Cricetulus griseus: one gene and its partners. The protein of the gene in region 3 interacts with the protein of the main gene of each other region in a pairwise test. Links are inferred from orthologs where the notes say so. Each region holds a gene or a part of one and is shown on either strand. Other genes may lie near its edges. The genes, in order: Nme7, Fabp3 and Shtn1.

What was found.
Region 1: the proteins of Shtn1 (region 3) and Nme7 interact in binary tests that used the Homo sapiens proteins (3 or more experiments, as listed by UniProt). The two-hybrid records come from large-scale screens. The link is inferred for Cricetulus griseus from reciprocal best matches to the Homo sapiens genes SHTN1 and NME7.
Region 2: the proteins of Shtn1 (region 3) and Fabp3 interact in binary tests that used the Homo sapiens proteins (3 or more experiments, as listed by UniProt). The two-hybrid records come from large-scale screens. The link is inferred for Cricetulus griseus from reciprocal best matches to the Homo sapiens genes SHTN1 and FABP3.

The regions. Positions count from the first base shown.
Region 1 is NC_048598.1:27,996,275-28,002,453, forward strand, and holds part of Nme7 (nucleoside diphosphate kinase 7), read right to left. Parts: intron 5,675-6,179; coding exon 5,624-5,674; intron 3,035-5,623; coding exon 2,827-3,034; intron 534-2,826; coding exon 428-533; intron 1-427. UniProt on the Homo sapiens protein: Possesses an intrinsic kinase activity. Displays 3'-5' exonuclease activity with a preference for single-stranded DNA. Does not seem to have nucleoside diphosphate kinase activity.
Region 2 is NC_048595.1:22,744,240-22,750,518, reverse strand, and holds the start of Fabp3 (fatty acid-binding protein, heart), read left to right. Parts: upstream 1-2,716; coding exon 2,717-2,789; intron 2,790-5,970; coding exon 5,971-6,143; intron 6,144-6,279. UniProt on the Homo sapiens protein: FABPs are thought to play a role in the intracellular transport of long-chain fatty acids and their acyl-CoA esters.
Region 3 is NC_048596.1:2,327,968-2,334,146, forward strand, and holds part of Shtn1 (shootin-1), read left to right. Parts: intron 1-3,563; coding exon 3,564-3,710; intron 3,711-6,179. UniProt on the Homo sapiens protein: Involved in the generation of internal asymmetric signals required for neuronal polarization and neurite outgrowth.

The DNA of each region.
Region 1 (6,179 bases), on a different chromosome or scaffold from region 3:
AACTGAACCTGGTCCTTTGCAAGAACAACAATTGCACTTAACCACTGAGCCATTTCTCCAGCCCTATAAACCACGCTTCATATATGCACTTGGAGTGCTATTTAAGTGAAGAGAGGGAACCCATTATATAGTTGGAAAGACAGAAGGAAGGTTAGACGGCAAGGAAGCAAGATCTGTTCAAAACATGGATGAGTTTGGCCATGATCAACAGCCAAAGGAGCAGTTACTAAGAATGCACAAATTCCAAAATGAAGACAGAAATCTAGACACATTTATCTTTAAATGTTGCCTTGATTCATGGACTTTCAAAGAAAAGAATCTGAAATATTAACATGTACTTAATTTCATCATGCAAACACAGCAAGAAAACAAACATTAACAAAATAAGCTGTTCTAATTAATAAAGCATCTACAACATGGCACTTACCTTCACTGATGGCATGGGGCTTCACAATGCAACAGGTACAGTTGGTAAATTTAGCAGTGTTTGCTGGTCCACAGCCTCCACTTGAAGGAAAAAATAATTCCATTTCCTGTAGATACAGAAAGATGAGAAAAGATGATCTCTTATCTGAAACTTCCAGAATATTTCCGAAGATATACAATTACTTTTAAAGTTTCATGATATAAATTCTATGCTTCTGATTTTCTAAATGTGAATTTGCAGACTGAGTAACTTAGCTCCATTTCAGCACTTAACAATCAGAACATGCAGAGTATTGTAGCAATGTGAAGACATCATTGTGTGACCTCTATTATAACTGACAGGTTTCAACAAATTCTGAGAACTGGGAAAAATATATAGTTCTTACTTTCCCAAAAGTATAGTTCATAAATACAGATTAATTTTAAACTTAAAAAATAAAATATAAAAAGTTAAAACAAGGACATCCTTATAAAAACAGAAAAATTAATGTTTAGGAGTCTGAGAACCACAGCTAATTAACAATAGTTCTATTATAAATCAAAATGAGCAACGTATTTTGGCCTGATTCACACAGTGGCTATTGCTTTGCCTACAGCTCATTAAATCAAGAAGTTAGCTAGCAATCTGAATGAACCAAAGATGTTCATACTAATCAATTCTTTTAGTTACTTAAATGCTGTCCCTGAGCTTTCAGCACTATTCTTTCCACTATATTCTCCATAAAAATCTCTGTTCCATGCTCCAAAACATCTGCCAGTGAGCACAGAACTATCTAACTATCCTCTAGAAAGATTTTCCACGCTCCCAATCAGCGCCATGCATTCATCACAGCTGTGACTTGTCAGCAACCAAATTATAAATTTGAAGAAAAGAACCAACTTGCAGAGCTTAGTAGCTTCCAAAACACCTAAAACAAAACCTGCCTCAGAGTTAGTATTTTCTTTTCCCTGAATTTATAATTGAAAGAGCAAGTCTACCGTTTGGGAAGCAGAGGCAGGAGGCTCACTGCTAGTACAAGTCCGCCGGGCCTATACAGTGAGTTCCAGGTCAATATGGCTACATGGTGAGACCCTGACTCAAATTTACAATAAAATAAATCAAAGCTATACTAATGAACTTTCATACTCTATAGTGTACATTAAATTATATAGAATAATAGGCTTCATGGGATATTTTCATAGAGGTCCAACACACCCTGTGATGCTTTCTAGTTCCTTATTAACTCCTTACTCTTTTATCTTCTCCGCCCTCTTCTCTAACGGCCTCCCTTCTATTCTGATGTGCAAATATTTCTTTAAACCAGAAGCAAGAGGGAGGAGGAGAACTTACTCAAATACTGTATATTTCAGTGAGTCTGTTGGCAGGACATTATAAAAGAATAATTAACTTTTATTACTAATAGTAATTAACTATTACTATTGACTATTAACCTGCTTTTTGTCACTATAAGCCGATCTTTATAATTTTATATAAATTCATCCATTATTTTTTCTATCTTCTTTCACTCAAAAAATATTTTGAGATTCACTCCCTGTAATCAATCCTTCCTTCCTTTTTACAATAATATGCCATGTGTGACTACAGCATGGCTTGTTCATTTTGTTCATCTACTGGACATTTGTGATATCTCTAGTTTGGGCTATTACAAATAAGCTGTTACAAACACTCAAATTCAATCTTCTATTGAAGCCGCTCACAGGATAATTCTCACTATTATTTTGTTGTTGTTGTTAAGACCTAGATTTCATTCTTTCTTTTAAAGAAAGAAACTTTTTTGCTTTGAAATTTTTTATCAATCTGTCTGGCTGTCTATTTGTACATGCATGGCCAGAGGCCAGAGAACAACTTACAGAATTCTCACCTTCCACCACAGGGGTCCCAGTTAACAAACTCAGGGTACCAGGTGTTGATACAAGCACCTTTACCCACTAAGCCATCCTGCTGTCCCGAGACTTCTTGCATCTTCACACATACGTTCCATGTATTTCTAGTGTTTCTCCTAGACTCCTACTTAGCTAATAACAGTGCATGATCTAAATTACAGACTACTCCAATGAAGGTTCTTTAGGAATATCTACTACATATCAGTAAACTAGGATTCCTAATTGAATTCAGTCACAAACATGAGACTCAGCATTTATGCCTTTACAGAAAGAAGCGTGGCAACAAACGGCAGACTTGGAGAAAACTGCACTCCACTGTGACCAACACAACTAATTTAAAAAGGAGATGAGGCTTTGAACCGATACTTGATCCTAGGAAAATGTCAAAAGTTGTTTGCCACTACTACATCAGCTTTTTAAATTTTCCCAAAGTCCTCAGTGGGAGAAATATTTTATTCTGACATAAAACAATTTTCCAAACAAAACAGGAGAAAAATATTTCTCAAAACAACTTACTCTGGCAGCAGATGCAAAAGAATCAGGGCCATGAGCCGCGTTTCTTATGCTATCTGTCCCAAAGACGGCTCTGATGCTTCCGGGGGCATCTGTATGAGCTAGGTTAGAGTTTGCGGGTCCAAGCAATCTTTTCCACTCACAGATCGCATCATCTTTTAAAATCTCCATGGCAATAACAGGCCCACTTGTAATAAACTGGATCACTTCGCTAGGAAACAGGGAAAAGTCTGAATTACTTCTCTACTCTGTCAATCTAGACACCTGCCTTAACAATGAAGATACGGTTGAACATTAGTAATTTCAGGGACTAGAGTTTCTGGGCACAGTGAAGTGAATATGGGCAGTGCAAAACCCTCATCTCATGACTGGAGCTTTACATGGATCTAGTTTGCTACAAAATCATTACAGAACTTTTGTCAGGTTCACTACTGTTTGCAAAGGGAAAGCTTGTTGAATTCTGGCATTTCACTAACTTGAAGTGCATATTGTTGATCTAAGCTTTTCCTATTATTCTAAGGACAAAAGTGATTCCCTTCTTATTTACATACGGTTTACTGTGGTAGGTAGAATTTTACAATAACAAAATAATGAGCATGACATTTTGTAACATTTTCTATGCAGAGAATGACAACTCTAAACCAATGTGAGAAAGAAAAAGAATGGCACCAGGCCTTCAAACACTAGCCTCTTATTAGGAGAAAACTACTCTGGGTTATGATACACTAAATGATCAACCATACACACAGGACTTCATTAAAAGTTTATGTCTTAGTACCAGCTCCCTGGGAAGGAAAACTGACACTTAATTTTATTTTTCCATTTCTTCATGTACAGAAGGCAGCAATGATAAATTTCACTTGAAATAAGTGACATGCCAGGCAAAATAGAGAAAGGACAGGACTTTCTCAGAGAAAGGAAGACAGCGTAACAGGCTATGACCCTGACTGCTTTATACACTCCCTTCCCACCCCTTCATTAATCAACCCTTTTCACTTTAGAAAAACATTTCCAAGAAGTAACAACTAGAAGGAAGTATCTATACACACTATGTTAAGAGGACACGATATTCTTTTTTTTTAATTTATTTTTTTTATTATGTATACAACATTCTGCTTCCATGTATGTCTCTGCACACCAGAAGAGGGCACCAGATCTCATTACAGATGGTTGTGAGCCACCTGCTGGGAATTGAACTCAGGACCTTTGGAAGAGCAGGCAGTGTTCTTAACCACTGAGCCATCTCTCCAGCCCCGAGGACACAGAATTCTTAAACATACTGCTACATCTTAGCAGCCAAAACCAAATACAGAAAGGAAGTACGAAGGGAGAGAGGGAGGAAGGGAGGGAACAGTTACCTACTTAATAAGCATTTAATTATCATGCAATATATATATATATATAGCCATAAAATAGGATCCAACCCTGAGAATTTTATAATGAGTGTGGCATATAACAATTGAGGGGTGGGGCTACTGCGAGGACATGGATCCTGAGCTGACTTCAGTTACTTCAGCTGGGCTCTGATTGTCTTCCCAATGTCAGACTACCAGTTCATTCATTCAGTTATTCAAACTTTCTGCATATGAACAGCATGTAAGATATTAAGCTAGGAGTTATGATTCAGGGTTATAAAGACAAAGAACCTAAAACAAAGAATAATTGCCAAAAAATGTATATGATAATTCTAACAAAGTTTAGGAATATTTTATAATATCTGATTAAGCTATAATATAGTAATTTTATGAAATAGAGTTCTTTTTTTTTATATAAAGTTATTCTATGGGCTGGAGAGATGGCTCAGCGGTTAAGAGCTCTGACTGCCCTTCCAGAGGTCCTGAGTTCAATTCCTGGTAACCACATGATGGCTCACAACCACCGTGAATGAGATCTGGTGCCCTTTGCTGGCATGCAGGAACAAGACTGTACACATAATAAAATCTTTTTTTTTTTAAAAATTTATTCTATGTAGATTATCAAATAAAACGCCTACTGCAGCAGATTGGATAAATTTCATTTGTCTTTATTAGAAATATAGAGGGGTTAGGTGGGGAGAGCAGGAGGAGAGGAGGGAGGGGAAACTGGGATTGCGATGTAGAAAGCAAATTAATAAAAAAAGTTTAAAAAAAGAAATACAGATATTTGCTTGTCAATAGCTATGCACATTATTCATTTTAATTACATCCAAAATTTTTATAATCAATTCAGTTTCTAACAAACATTATTAGCTATTAGCCATTTATTTCCAAAAGAACAAAATATGTGTCAAATTATTTAGTTCTGTGACTTGTTTTGTACATACAAGATACCAAAATAAAGACCTTAAAAGCACAACAAAATTCTCAGAATAAAATATAATTATAAGCCAGGCAGTGGTGGTGCATGCTTTTAATCCCAGCACTTGGGAGGCAGAGGCAGGAGGATCTCTGTGAGTTCAAGGCCAGCCTGGTCTACAGAGCTAGTTCTAGGAGAGCTATGACAGTTACACAGAGAAACTCTGTCTCAAAATACAAAAACTATATATAGATAGATCTATCTATCTATCTATCTATCTATCTATCTATCTATCTATATGTCTATATCTATATATATGTCTATATATATGTCTATATATGTCTATATATATCTAGATATATATATCACATTTTCAATTCAATGAAACATAAAAGGATGCTTCTTAAAATTTAACTAAGCGATCTATTTGTTTCTGATTAAGTTTCAAGTATTTAGTGGTGGATATAAGAAGTCTTTCTAACAAAAGTATAGAAAAAACAATTTTAGTCCCCATGTAAGCACCTACTTATAAAAAGGCTTTGAGTGGTGGTCTACAAGAAAGTCTGTTGCTTCTTTCCTATAAAATAAGCAAAATAACAATAGTTAAGATTTCTTAAAATAGTTACTTTAGTATATGTTAATAAAACAACGTACAAATTAAAACACACACACACACACACACACACACACACACACACACACACACACACACACACACACACGATCTGCATATAAGTTAAGTTTTTTTTCAACCAAATAGCAATCCCAAGTATGGGTCCTATGGATGCTGAGATATAACATTAAAATAGGAGGATATTTTTATTTTTTTATTAATGTTACACTTCATCTGTCTTCCATTTTATCAGCATCTCACCGGATTCTCAATACAATTAAATATCAGATCAATAAGAATGTTTGCTATTTAAAGTCTAAACAATTTATATTTAAAAATGAGGAGACATCTTCTAATTCAAAACTTAGAATTAATTTTAAGCTTTAGAATTTTGGCCACAGCTTATTTTTCTTTTGTCATCCACTGGGGATAAACCTAGGGCCTCACTCCTATAATAGAGCACTCTCTC
Region 2 (6,279 bases), on a different chromosome or scaffold from region 3:
TGGGGTTGCTGATATGAGCAATCATGCCCAGGTCTTATGTGGGCGCTGAAGTCCCCATGCTTGCACAGCAAACACCTTACCCATTGAGACATCTTACTTCCCTAGCCTTTCAGGGACCTTTCTTTCTTTGTTTCTTTGTTTCTTTCTTTGTCTACAGAATGAATTCCAGGACAACCAGAGCTACACAGTAGAGCCTGTCTCAAACAAAAGAAAGAAGGAAAGGAAGAAAGAAAGAAAGGAAGGAGGAAAGAAAGAAAGAAAGAAAGAAAGAAAGAAAGAAAGAAAGAAAAAGAAAGGAAAGCCGGGGCTCAGGTGTGGTTGTGCGTGCCTTTGATTCCAGCACTCAGGAGGCAGAGGCAAATCGACCTCTGGGTTTGAGGCCACCCTGGTCCACATAGTGAGTTCTGGGACAACCAAGGCAATATAGACAGAGACTCTGTCATAAACAAACAAACAAACAAAAACAGAGTTTTAAATATATTTTCTTTCATGATCTCCAAACATCACCCATTTCAAAGTTGAACTGATTCAGAGTGGCTTAAGTGAATTGCTCAAGGCCGAACCATACAGCTATTATCAATGGAGATCAGGACTGCTTCCTGGCAGCAGCTGTCAGCCAGCCCCAGCTGTCAGCCAGCCCAGCTCTCCAGCACAGCATTGCAGAGTGCTCTGGTCCCTGGGTCTCCAGCTTCTCAGTCCTTGAGAGAAGAGGTTCCTTCTCTAAAGCCTGTGACCTTGAATGGAAGCTATCCCATATCTCCCCCCACCCCCACCCCTTGGCACTTGCTGTAGTGCTGAGGTCACCAGGGCTCCAGGCCCAGCCCTGAGGCCTGCCCTATAGGCAGAATAGGGCCTTTCAGTCTTCTGACAACTGAATTCTCCAAAGGAATCAAGACCTGAGGGTAGGTAGGGGTGAGAGGACTCTTCCTCTTTAGCCTCTTTCCTAGAACAGCCGGGGTGGGGGTAGGGGGGGTGGGGAGGTGAGGGGGTGGGGTGGGGGAGTGGCCGGTGGAAGAGGCCTAAGAAGGAGGCTTTGTCACATTGCAGGTGTACTGGTCAGGTCCCAGGGCTCTGATAATGGCTCCTGAATGACTACCCTGGGCCCCCTTCTAAGAAGTTGAAGTTCCGTACACACCACTTTCTCCTGTATAGGGCCTTGCACACTTAGAAGTTCATTCATGCTCCTCTTCCCCTGAGTCCCGAAGTCAGGGTAGGTCCCTCCTATAGTCATGAGTTGCATGATTCTCCCAGAAGAGAATACTTTCAGCCTGTACCTTCTTCCCTGTGGTCTTTTCCAAAACAGGGCCAGCACAAATCAGGAACTTATTTTGAGACAGGATCCTGCCCTATGTAGCTCAGGCTGGCCTCCAACTCAGGATCCTCTAGCCTTCAGGTGCCTGAATAACTGTTGAATCAAGCCAGGCCAGCTGCACATGGCAGTAATCTCAGGAGACGGAGGGGAATCTTTAGTTCAAGGTCAATGTAGGCTGCACATTGAGATGTTTATTTGGTAATTATTAAACAGAAACCCGCTGAACTAAGCAATGGGCTCCACTGAGTTTCCTTTCCTCACGGGTAAAAAGGGGGTAGCACCTGCTAACAATGGAGACGTTCAGTGTGACCATGTCCCGAAGCAGCGGGCTACAATCATCACTAAAGTGGGTCTCATTTAATGAAGAGCTTTAATATGACAAGCAGGCTAGTGGAGAAATCAGGGGAAGCCCTGACGGCAGCAGAGGGCTGCAGCTTTCTGGCAGTTAAGGTGGCCACCGCCGGAAGAGCCGCCTGAATAGACAGAATTTCTGAAGGAGCTAAGCGCAGAACGACCCCAGTGCAAGCTCAGAGGTCAGAAAAGGCTGGGGCGTTCTCAGGGAGCGGTGGGGAGCAGGACCGCGGGGGCGCCGGCAGGGGACATTCCGCAGGGAGGGGCAAGCACGTGGGGGGCTAACGGAGGGACCAAGGTCACGTTCGTCCAGTGCAGGTGAGGCACTAGGCAGCCCAGCCACCGACGGTGTCCAGGGCGACTCCTCTCCACTGGGCGGGCGGGGAGCAGGCGGGCCTAGGGGCCGCGCTTGCTGTCTGGGCTCCAGTTCGCTTCTACTTATGGTGATCGCGTCGTTACCCTCTGAGCCTCCGCGCCGCTCCGACAGGAAGATGACCTAGGGCTGGTGAAATAGGTCAGCAGGTAGAAACATTCGCTGACAAGCCTGGCGACCTCAGTTCGGTGCCAGGACCCACACCGTGGAAGGAGAGCCGTGACTCCCCGAGTTACAGCGTTCCCCCTCCCTCAATGCACGCGCCTTCGTACGCCCTCACACCATAAGTGTAAAACAACAATCGGGGAAAAACAAAAGAGTGGCACGTGGTGCAGACGGCGGCGTTTCCCCAGCGTCGCACCAGCCTAAGAGCGAGTTTCCTTTCTGCGTGGCTGGGGGTGGTGGGTGCTCTTCTTGGGCTGCGGGGAGCGCCGCGCAGCCAGGGTGGGCACGGGTTCGGCGGCACCCGCAGGACCGCGGACGGCGCGGACGCAGGGGCCTGGCGGTTTGCGGGGGCGGGAAGGGCCGCAGCTCCTAGCGGGAGTGCAAGCCCCGGCTTCCTATTTCGGGAGCAAGGGGTGTGGGCCGCCCTCATCATGTGATGCGAGGGCTATTTAAAGAGGCTCTCGGGCCGGGAGCCGCGGTTCTCAGTTCCTGCACGCCTCGCCTCTCGCCACACCATGGCGGACGCCTTTGTCGGCACCTGGAAGCTAGTGGACAGCAAGAATTTTGATGACTACATGAAGTCACTCGGTGAGTGAACCGCGAGCGCGGAATCCCGGCCCTGGAGGGCCCGCGAGCCCGTCCTGGCGCTGCGTTCCCGCTGGAGTGCCCCGAGCGCCTCCTGCACGCTCCCTGCCAGTCCAGGCTGCAAAGACCCGCGCGCCGGCGTGGCGTGGGCTGCAGCATCCCGGTCTCCTGGGAGGGGGCTGTCGTGGTCCGGACCTGGGGAGTTAGGTAGCTAGGGAGAAGGCGCTCAGGGGAAGCAGGCTGTGGTTGCAGAGGTCCGGGCTGGGTGGCACCCACTTTCTAGGAAGCGAGGTATGTGATCGGAGGGGAGAGATGGGAGTTGAGGGAACGAGTGGAAGGCGGGAGGCTGGCTGCAGCAGAAAGCAAACGGGAGCATGGGTGGTCTAGAAACCGAGTCCGGAAAGGGAATAGAGCAGATGTGAATGCACTGTAGGAGGAAATACTTGAGCAAGACTGAGGAAAATCAGTGAGCTCGATCTGGGAAGAGGTGAAAACAGACCTGGGCAGTCAGCCATGCATAGTCCCTTCCCCTCCATGATGGATAGTGAAGGTGCCCTGGTTCTCCCCAGTGTGTTCACCTGCAATGTGCGCAAACCTCCCCCAATCAGTTTCTGAGACGCTGCTGGTAGAGTAGGGCAAGACCACCACCACACGCGGGCTTTCCTACCGCACCAGTCTCCCACCTGTTCAGTGCCAGGGATAGGGTGAAGAAAGCTGTTCTCTGGGATACAGCAGAGGGTGCCAGAAGCAAGGTCATGCACGGGCTGTGGAGGGGGAGTGCGGTTTGGGGATCAGGAAGAGCAAAGCTCCCTAGAACCTCACTGGTAAGATCTGTGAAAATGGAGCTCCAGGCCTTGCTTGGCTAGAAAAACAACAGCCCAGTGAGAGCAAGCTAATCATCTGATAGGAAAGCCCAGGATTTCTTTTTTCTTTTTGGTTTTTCGAGACAGGATTTCTCTGTATTGCTTTGGAGGCTGTACTGGCACTCGCTCTGGAGACCAGGCTGGCCTTGAACTCACAGAGATCCGCCTGCCTCTGCCTCCCGAGTGCTGGGGTTAAAGACTTGCGACACCAACGCCCGCCCGGCACAAGCCCAGGATTTCTTCAGGATTTCTTTTCGTCACTACTGACGACTGAACTTAGAGTCTTATGCATGCCAGGCAGGCACTGGAACACTGAGTCACACCCCCCTCCCCTTTTACTTTGTGTGACAGGGTCTCTCTAACTTACCCAGGTTGGCCTGGAACTTGTAACCTGCTATCCCAGCCTTCTCAGTAGTTGAAAACCCAGAACCACCTAGAGTTCTTCCTACTTCAGCATAGCCAGGGAGTGGGAGACCACCTTTGGGTGCATGGGGAATGTGGTATGACCCACTCCTCCAGGACTGACCCTAGCCGTTCCTTTCTTGCCTTGGTGTAGGTAAAAGCCCTTCCTGTGAAGTGTTTGGCTATATCATCCATGTCAACTAGGATGGGACCCGAAAACTGGGCTGTGTCATGGCTGAGCTAGATTTCGTTCCTTCTTCCGAGGAAGGAGGGCTGGCTTATGACATGTTGAGGGTATATATGCAGGTTCCTCACCTACTTCAGGATGTTAGCTGAAACGGGTCCACAAGGCATTTTTGTCATTTTGGTTTTGGGATTGGAACCCAAGGTCTTGCACATGCTAAGCAAACACCATGACTCTGAGCTTCCACCGAAGCCCGAACTCCCATCAGCACCTACGCTCTCTAGGACAGAAGCTGGGCTTCATTTTTGTTTTGAGACAGGGTCTCACTCTGTAGCCCTAGCCGTCCTGGAGCTCCTTATGTAGACCAGGTCCTTTTGCCTCCCCAGCACTGGGGTTAGAGGCATGCAAGTTGGCCGTTCTTGACAGGGTAGGGAGTACTAAATTGCCCAGGTTTAGTTCCACCTTCCCAAGCCAAATTGCTAACAGCTGGTTTGCTGCTGAGGCCTAACTCACTCAGATACCAGTAGGCAAAGCCTTATCGTACAGAACCAAAGCAGCCCAGCCTAGTATTTGACTGCAGGTACAGATGGTGGCTTTAAGATACTATGGGAATCTATGTCACTAAACGCTGATAATTTTTTCTTTCCTCTGGAAACAGAGTCTTACTGTAGCTCACGTTTTAGAGAGGTACAGCCCAAGGTGGCCTTTAATTCTTGGCATTTCTCCTTGCTTCGGCCTCCTGAGTGAGATTATAAGCAGGTGTCACTAGGCTCAACTTGTTTGACTTTGGATAAGACAGCACAACTCTCTTGGCCTCATTTGTAAATTGCGAGTAATAAAAGCTATGCTTAGGGCTGTTTCAAGCAGTACTTGGCTACCCATGCAGAGTTTGTGCAGTGTACATAGCAAATACACAGGGCCAGGTGAATATTTGGAGGTCCCATGCCGTATCCCTATGTTGGGCTGCCTCCTGCCTCATTGCTGAGGACAGCTCAGCATGTGCTGGGGCCAGGGGACAGGTACTCAACAATGGAAGATTCAAGGGAGCTGCAACCCACGGAGGTGAAGGCTGGGCCTACCGGGTCTGTGTACTTCACCTGCTGTGGACACCTGGGACCTTGCCTAGGACTCAGATCCCATGATTATGTCAGGAGTCTTCTCCCCAGGGACTTCAACTCAATCCCTAAGTTTGTAGGAGACAAAACTCTCCATTGTACTTTTTTTAGCCAGGAGGCCTTGAAGCTACAGCGTTGCTACACAGAGGGTGGAGCACTGATGCCCCCAGTTTCACGATGAAAAATAGACATCCTTGTCCAGAGGACTCTGAAGGCTGTTGGCTTTCTTCTTTCTTCAGTCTTTCGGTCTGAGTGTTCAGGAAGCCAGAAGCAGCAGGGGCTCTTCTCTGGAGGTGACACAGGGCTCAGCAGCTTCAATCTGATTGGTGACCCTGGCCTTAAACTCCATTGCGGTGGTTACATCTACAAACCCTTGTAGGAACAGGACTGAGCCAGGGCCATATAGGTGGTTTGTACCTCTTGGTACCTCACTCTGATTTCCAGTGTTGCTGACATGCCTCGTGTTTCACATCAGCCTAACCGCTGCAGAGCTAAGGAAAAGACTGACTGACTGAGAAAATGGCCACACAAATTCACTGGCCACTATGGTCCTCCTTCCCCATGGTTGTATAATACCTCTTTACCCCAACTAATTTTCAGCCATCTGCCCCTGCCCTTAGGTGTGGGCTTTGCTACCAGACAGGTGGCTAGCATGACCAAGCCCACCACAATCATCGAGAAGAACGGCGATACTATAGTCATAAAGACACACAGCACCTTCAAGAACACAGAGATCAGCTTCCAGCTGGGAGTGCAGTTCGATGAGGTAACAGCAGACGACAGGAAAGTCAAGGTGAGTCTGAGAAGGGGAGGGGAGGTAAGAGGCTGGCCCTTGGCTCTGTACCCCAAGGGGCAGGCTGTCATAGATTTTAGACCAACATGGTTCATGAAGCCTGCTCAGTGCTGGGATGACCTAGGGGCCAAGTACA
Region 3 (6,179 bases):
GTGTGTGTGTGTGTTCTTTCCTTCCACCTTCATGGGTTCCAGGGATAGAGCACGGGTCTTCAGGCTTATGCAGCAAGAGCCATCTTGCCAACTATATTTTAAAGTTTTAATGTGATTTTACTTATATTTTTCAGTGTATTTTTCTTGCTACTCAGTTTCCCTTCTGGATAATTTGAACAATAATGGAATATTGCTTTAAATTCTGTATTAAGATTTTTATTCTCACTCTCATTGAAAAGACGTATGGGATTTCTCAGAAATTCCGATACCTGTGGTCTTCTTCCTCCAGTAAGAGACCAGCTTTCTGACTCTGAGTCATTCCTGTCACAACAAAACCAAAACTCATTATGTTTGGTGACTAAATGTTCTAGAAGAGGACACACTTAAAGAATTTTGATGAAGTTTGGGGGAGGCAGTATGACTACTCCCTCCACCCGCAAATCCCTCTGTGTGCATAGTCCCCTGTAGCCCAGACTGTTTTCAGAGTCGATGTTTAGCCAAAGATAACCTTGAATTCCCGCTCTTTCTGTCTCTGTCTTCCCGAGTCCTGGGATTGAAGGCATGTAATTACACAGGTTTTTGTGATGCTGCTGGTTGAACCCAGCCAGGGTGAGGGGAAGCTAGACAAGCACTCTACTAACTGGGCTGCTACTGTTTCAGACATGTCATGGGGGTTCTGAGAAAGAAAGTCACACGATGAAGACCTTTCAGATGAAGTGTTTATGCTTGTTTGTCTTCAAAGTGCTGCAGTTGAGGTACTTTGTACTCATGCAGTGTTGAGCACATTTTCCAGAATGTTTTCCAGAATTTCCTCTTCCTCAAGAGAAGCAAATCCCAGAGAATTCCAGAGAGAGGATGGAGTGGGCCACCCCACTTGATTTCCCTGCTCTGTGGCTATAGCTGTTGCACCAGCTCTTTGCCAGGAACACATGCAATAAAAGAAACTTGGAACTTTGCTTCAGCTGCGGTTAGCACCCTTTACAGTGACGGTGCTTGAAGCACTAAGATGCTGGCAAGGGAGCCTGTCTGGTTAAGTTTTAATAGAGGAAAAAATGTGTTGAAATTATTGTAATAATAATGATAACCAAGATAATTCATTTCAACTAAACACTGCTCAAAAATTTAAGACACCAGTGAATCATTGATTACCCCTGTTGGTTGGACTCTGAGTCTCGGGGTAGAATGACTCGGCTTATGCACATTGTGTGGGAGGGGGGTCTCTGTGCCCATAAATGCTTACAGACAGATGACACTGAAGAAGTGTGGGTTCCATGTACTACGAAAAATTATGTTTCATTCTTTCAGCTCTTCCAGAGGAGTTGAGTTCAATTCCCAGCACCCGCATCAGATGCCTCACAACTACCAGTGACTTGAGCTCCAGGGAAATCTGTCACCCTTTTAGGGCTTCAGGTACCCCCATACACACATACAGGCACACATTGAGACACACGTGTGCACATAAATAATAAGACATCTTTAAAAAATAGTGTGTTCTACCTGTTGGAGCTGATAGTGTGTCTTAATTTTGCACAACCTTGTAGTATCCTGCTTGGTAGACTTTTCACAAATCCTGCACAGGAGAAGAATGAAAGCTCGGCCAGTGTGTGTGTGTGTGTGTGTGTGTGTGTGTGTGTGTGTGTGTAGGGGGAGCACGTTTGCGTACAGCAATACGTGTTTGCAGTATCTTTCTCACTCTCCACCTTACTTTTTGAGACAGGGCCTCTCACTGAACCTGAAATTCACCGATTGGCTAGACTGACCAGCCACTGAGCTCTAGGAGCTCCCCATCTCCCATTTCTCCCTCCAGAGCCAACATTACAGATGTGTGAGGCCATGTGGCCACACCCAGCTTTTACATGTATACTTTGGACCCAAACTTGGGACCTTACGATTACACAGCTGCCACTCCCAGTCTGAGTCACATACAACCCCCCCAGCCCCAGCTCCCTGATAGCCACTTTTTTGTCCATATAGGAGGATACACTGAGAAGAAAACATGAGTTTATTTGTATTGTGTATTCATGGTGACTTCGACTGGCTGGGGCTAATTTACAGACTGTGTAGATCACTGAAGTTCCAGTCTTTGCACATGGAAGTTTGCAAGAATTTTATCTGTGGTGATGTATTATTTATGATTTATTAAAGCGCGCCTGAGGATTCAGAAAGCAAAGCCAGCCTCAAGCTATAGAGATCAGTCAGTGGTGGCACAAACCTTTAATCCCAAGACTCAGGATTAAGAGGTAGATGGGTGTCTGTTAGTTCAAGGCCACACTGAATACATAAAATCGATCCAGTCCTAAAAGACACAGCACACACAACGGTGATCAATACCTGGGATCACACGCCTTTAATTCCAGCATTGGGGGGATATAAGACAGGCGCAGGGTCTCAGAGCTGGCATTCAGTCTAAGAGTTAAGTCTCGAGCCACGTTTCGGAGAGCATAACTCTCTGAGTGAATCTGAGTCGCAGTGAAGTCGGGAGCAGTTTGAGTTTTGCTCCTTTGGCCCGAGCTGAAGCAAAGCTAGCGGCTGCTGCTTTGCTTTTCTGGTCTTCAGCTTGAAGCTTGAAGCCCGATGTCTGACTCTGGGCCTTTTATTTATCATGCTCCATTTATCTTTGTCCTGAGTTACATTTCCTAATATTTTGTGTTACACGGCAGATGAAGTTGTATGTGTGCTCTGCGGTAAACCACCTCATTGTGCACAGCTTGGAGTTAAGCTACAGTGTCAATGCAAGACGCTGTTAAGATCCTGACGGTATAAAGTGTTGCTGTTCAGAGACTTCAGAGTTTGTGAAATAGCTAATGCTTGGGATTGCCCACCAGTCATCTTGGTACGGTGAAGAGAAAGTAAATAACAGACAAATAGAAAATAATTCTGCTGTCAATCGTGTCAACATGGGAGAATTAGCCGAGTCGCATTCATAAGCAACTCGATGAAGCGTTCAATACATGCTAGTACAGTCTCCCTGCTGAACTGTCTCTCACTGGGGGAAACTCACATAGGTCTAATAAAGAGCAGAGGAGGTGAATCAATGAGTTTAAGTTCTGGTCGTGATACCTATGTACCCTTGGGAAAATCACTTGTTCTCTCTGAGCCTCCACTTCTTTGTCAGGGAAATGCAATGGCTGCAGTTTTCTATTGGATGGTGTTGTTCTTAGTACTGAAAGATATCTGCACATAGTGATGTCCACTGTATGGTATGGTGCTTAGTGACGGTTGCCAGCAGGAAGTTAGCTCATAGGATGTATGTAAGAATGAGACAAAGCATAGAAAGTGCCTGGCACGGGTGTATTATTGACATATACTTACCAATGCATTTTAAAGCCGTAAAGAAATGTTCAAAACTGAGGTGTAGAATTCAGTTAGTGTATCCCCTCTGTGCTTAGAGTGGTGATTTAGGTATTGGAAATGGTGTGAAGTTGGGAATTGCTCCCTGGCAAAGTCCTACGTCAGGCATTTCCTTTGGGGTCTTCAAGGACTGCACTCACTGCCCTTTGAGCTGCACTGGGGGTCTGCATGGGCTGGGTTGGTGCATACATGTTTGTAATTAACTTTTGCAGATGTTCATAGAACAAAACAAGCTGAAGAGACAAAGCCACCTTCTGCTGCAGAGCGCCCTTCCTGACCAGCAGCTTTTGAAAGCATTAGACGAGAACTCAAAACTCATCCAGCTGCTCGAAGGAGAGAGGATCCAGCATAAGCAAAAGGTAACTGATTTTACTCTGGAATTGTGGGCACACATATGTGCACACGTGCACACGCATACACAGATGCACAGACACGTCACACATGTGTGCATGTGTGCACATAGGCATATCACATACACACGTACACACGTCACATGCATGAATATCCATGTGCACACATACATGCATGTGCATACAGACACATCACACACGCACACACATAAGCACACACACAGACACATCATACGCACATACACACCACAGACTCACGCACATGTATAATCAGCTTACAACCATACATTAAAACAGGAGGTGCTAGTATGGCTTTCTAGAGTTCCATCTTTTTGCCTGTTGACTAAGTCCTAAATACCTTTGAGAAAACAACAGCTACCAAGGGAATTTAATGTACTGTTCAGCCACAGTTTATAGCACACTGTCATGGAGTCTTTGAAATGATCAGGAAATCGATCATTAAGAATGAGTTTGGAGAAGCAAGGGAAAGGATAGGACTCAGAGTGTATTGGGCAGTTTGTAGTCTTGAAGTCTGTTTGGAAAGATGTGGTTTTCAGAGACGGGATACACTCAGGAGAGTGTGTTGGTTTTGCAGAGCTTCTCGGGGGACATAGGGCCTTATTCTGAGAGGGAGGGAAAGAAAAACCTGTCATTAGTAATTGCTTTCTTAGGTACAGTTTGTGGTCATGCAGCCTTGCGTAGATATCTGTAGTGCTTTGTTCAGGAGTAGAACACTTCAGGCCAGTGCTGCCCAGGTCCCTCTGTAGGGCAGAAGAGAGGGAGGAGGTGGGAGAAGACTTACAGGAGCCACTTTGGAACAGTGGCTTCAGTATTTGTGGGTCCTCATGGCGACCTCGTTCATGGGAAAGGCTGTTACCGGCAACTGACTTTTCCCTGTCAGTGTCTTGTGCATGACCCTCTCTACTTCTGACTCTGTTTTACATCTAGCAGTAAGGTCAAGCTGGGTTCTGTTTCCTCAGTGGGAAGTGTTGGCAGATGCACACAGAACCCCTGCTCCCCAAGGCTACAGGTGAAAAATTTCTTTTTCTACTCCCACATTCAGGAATCACCTTTTCAGTAAGAGTGTGTGTGTGTGTGTGTGTGTGTGTGTGTGTGTGTGTGTGTGTGAGAGAGAGAGAGAGAGAGAGAGAGAGAGAGAGAGAGAGAGAGATCTGTGTATAAGTATGTGTGTGTGTGTGGTGTGGTGTGTAAGTATGTGTATGGTGTCTGTGTGTGTGTGTATGTGTAAGTATGTATGTGGTGTATGTGTGTGTAGTCTATATGTGTATGTAAGTGTGTGTGTGTGTCTCTCTGTGTGTGTGTGTGTATGTGTAAGTATGTATGTGGTGTCCCTGTGTGTGTATGTGTGTGTAGTCTATATGTGTATGTAAGTGTGTGTGTGTGTGTGTGGTGTCTCTGTATATGTAAGTATGTGTGGAATGTGTAAGTATGTGTCTGTGTGTGTGTGTGTGGTATCTCTGTATATGTAAATATGTGTGGTATGTGTAAGTATGTATGTGGTATCTATGAATGTGGTATCTGGGTATGTGGTGTCGTGTGTGTGTGTGTGTGTGTGTGTGTGTGTGTGTGTGTGTGTGTGTGTGTGTGTGTGTGTGTTTAGCTTGTGTCAAATATTATCTTTTGGTCCTGAGAAGACAAACTATAATTGTTAACTTGGTTGGTAGATAATACAAGCCTGGAGTTCACAAATTGAACTGAACTTTAGGACTGAGTTGTTTTCTGTGTTCCTGTTTGACAAAGGAGCAGAGGTCGTTGTGGGTGAAACTACAGCAATTACTGGTTCTACAGGCTTTGTCCTGCCCTAATCATTTTATTCTGTTTAGATGAAAGTTTCTGTCCTGCCTGCTCCCATAGCTGTTGAGTCCAAAATAAACACACAGAGGCTTATATTAATTATAAACTGTTTGGCAGATGGCTCAGGTTTCTTTTGGCTAGCACTCTCTTAATTGTAAACCCATTTCTATTAATCTGTGTATCTCTACATGGTCTTGGCTTACCGGTGATACCCAGGCCTGTTGCTTCCTCAGCAGCTGCATGCCTTCTCTCTGACTCCACCTACCACCTTTCTCTATCCCTGTTTGGATTTCCTGCCTGGCTAGATCCCACCAGTCCATCGGCTGAAACAGTTTTATTCATCAACCAATAAGAGAAACATATATTCACAGCATACAGAAGGATATTTCCCCATCACTCTCTACTCTGTGTGGTGTAAAGTATCTCCTACTTGAACACAAATTCCCTCATAGACTCATTACTTTTTAAAACACAGATATTTTGCTTTTGCTTTTATAAAATAATGTATGTTCCTTATAGTAAACACACATTTTTTTTTTTAAATGTAAAAGCAGTAAAAGAAAATTAAGATTACCTGAGAATCCAAGGTGTATATTTTTGGGCAGCTTGAAAGGCTATATAAATACATGGCTTTATGATGTATATATGATTTGTTTAAGTGGA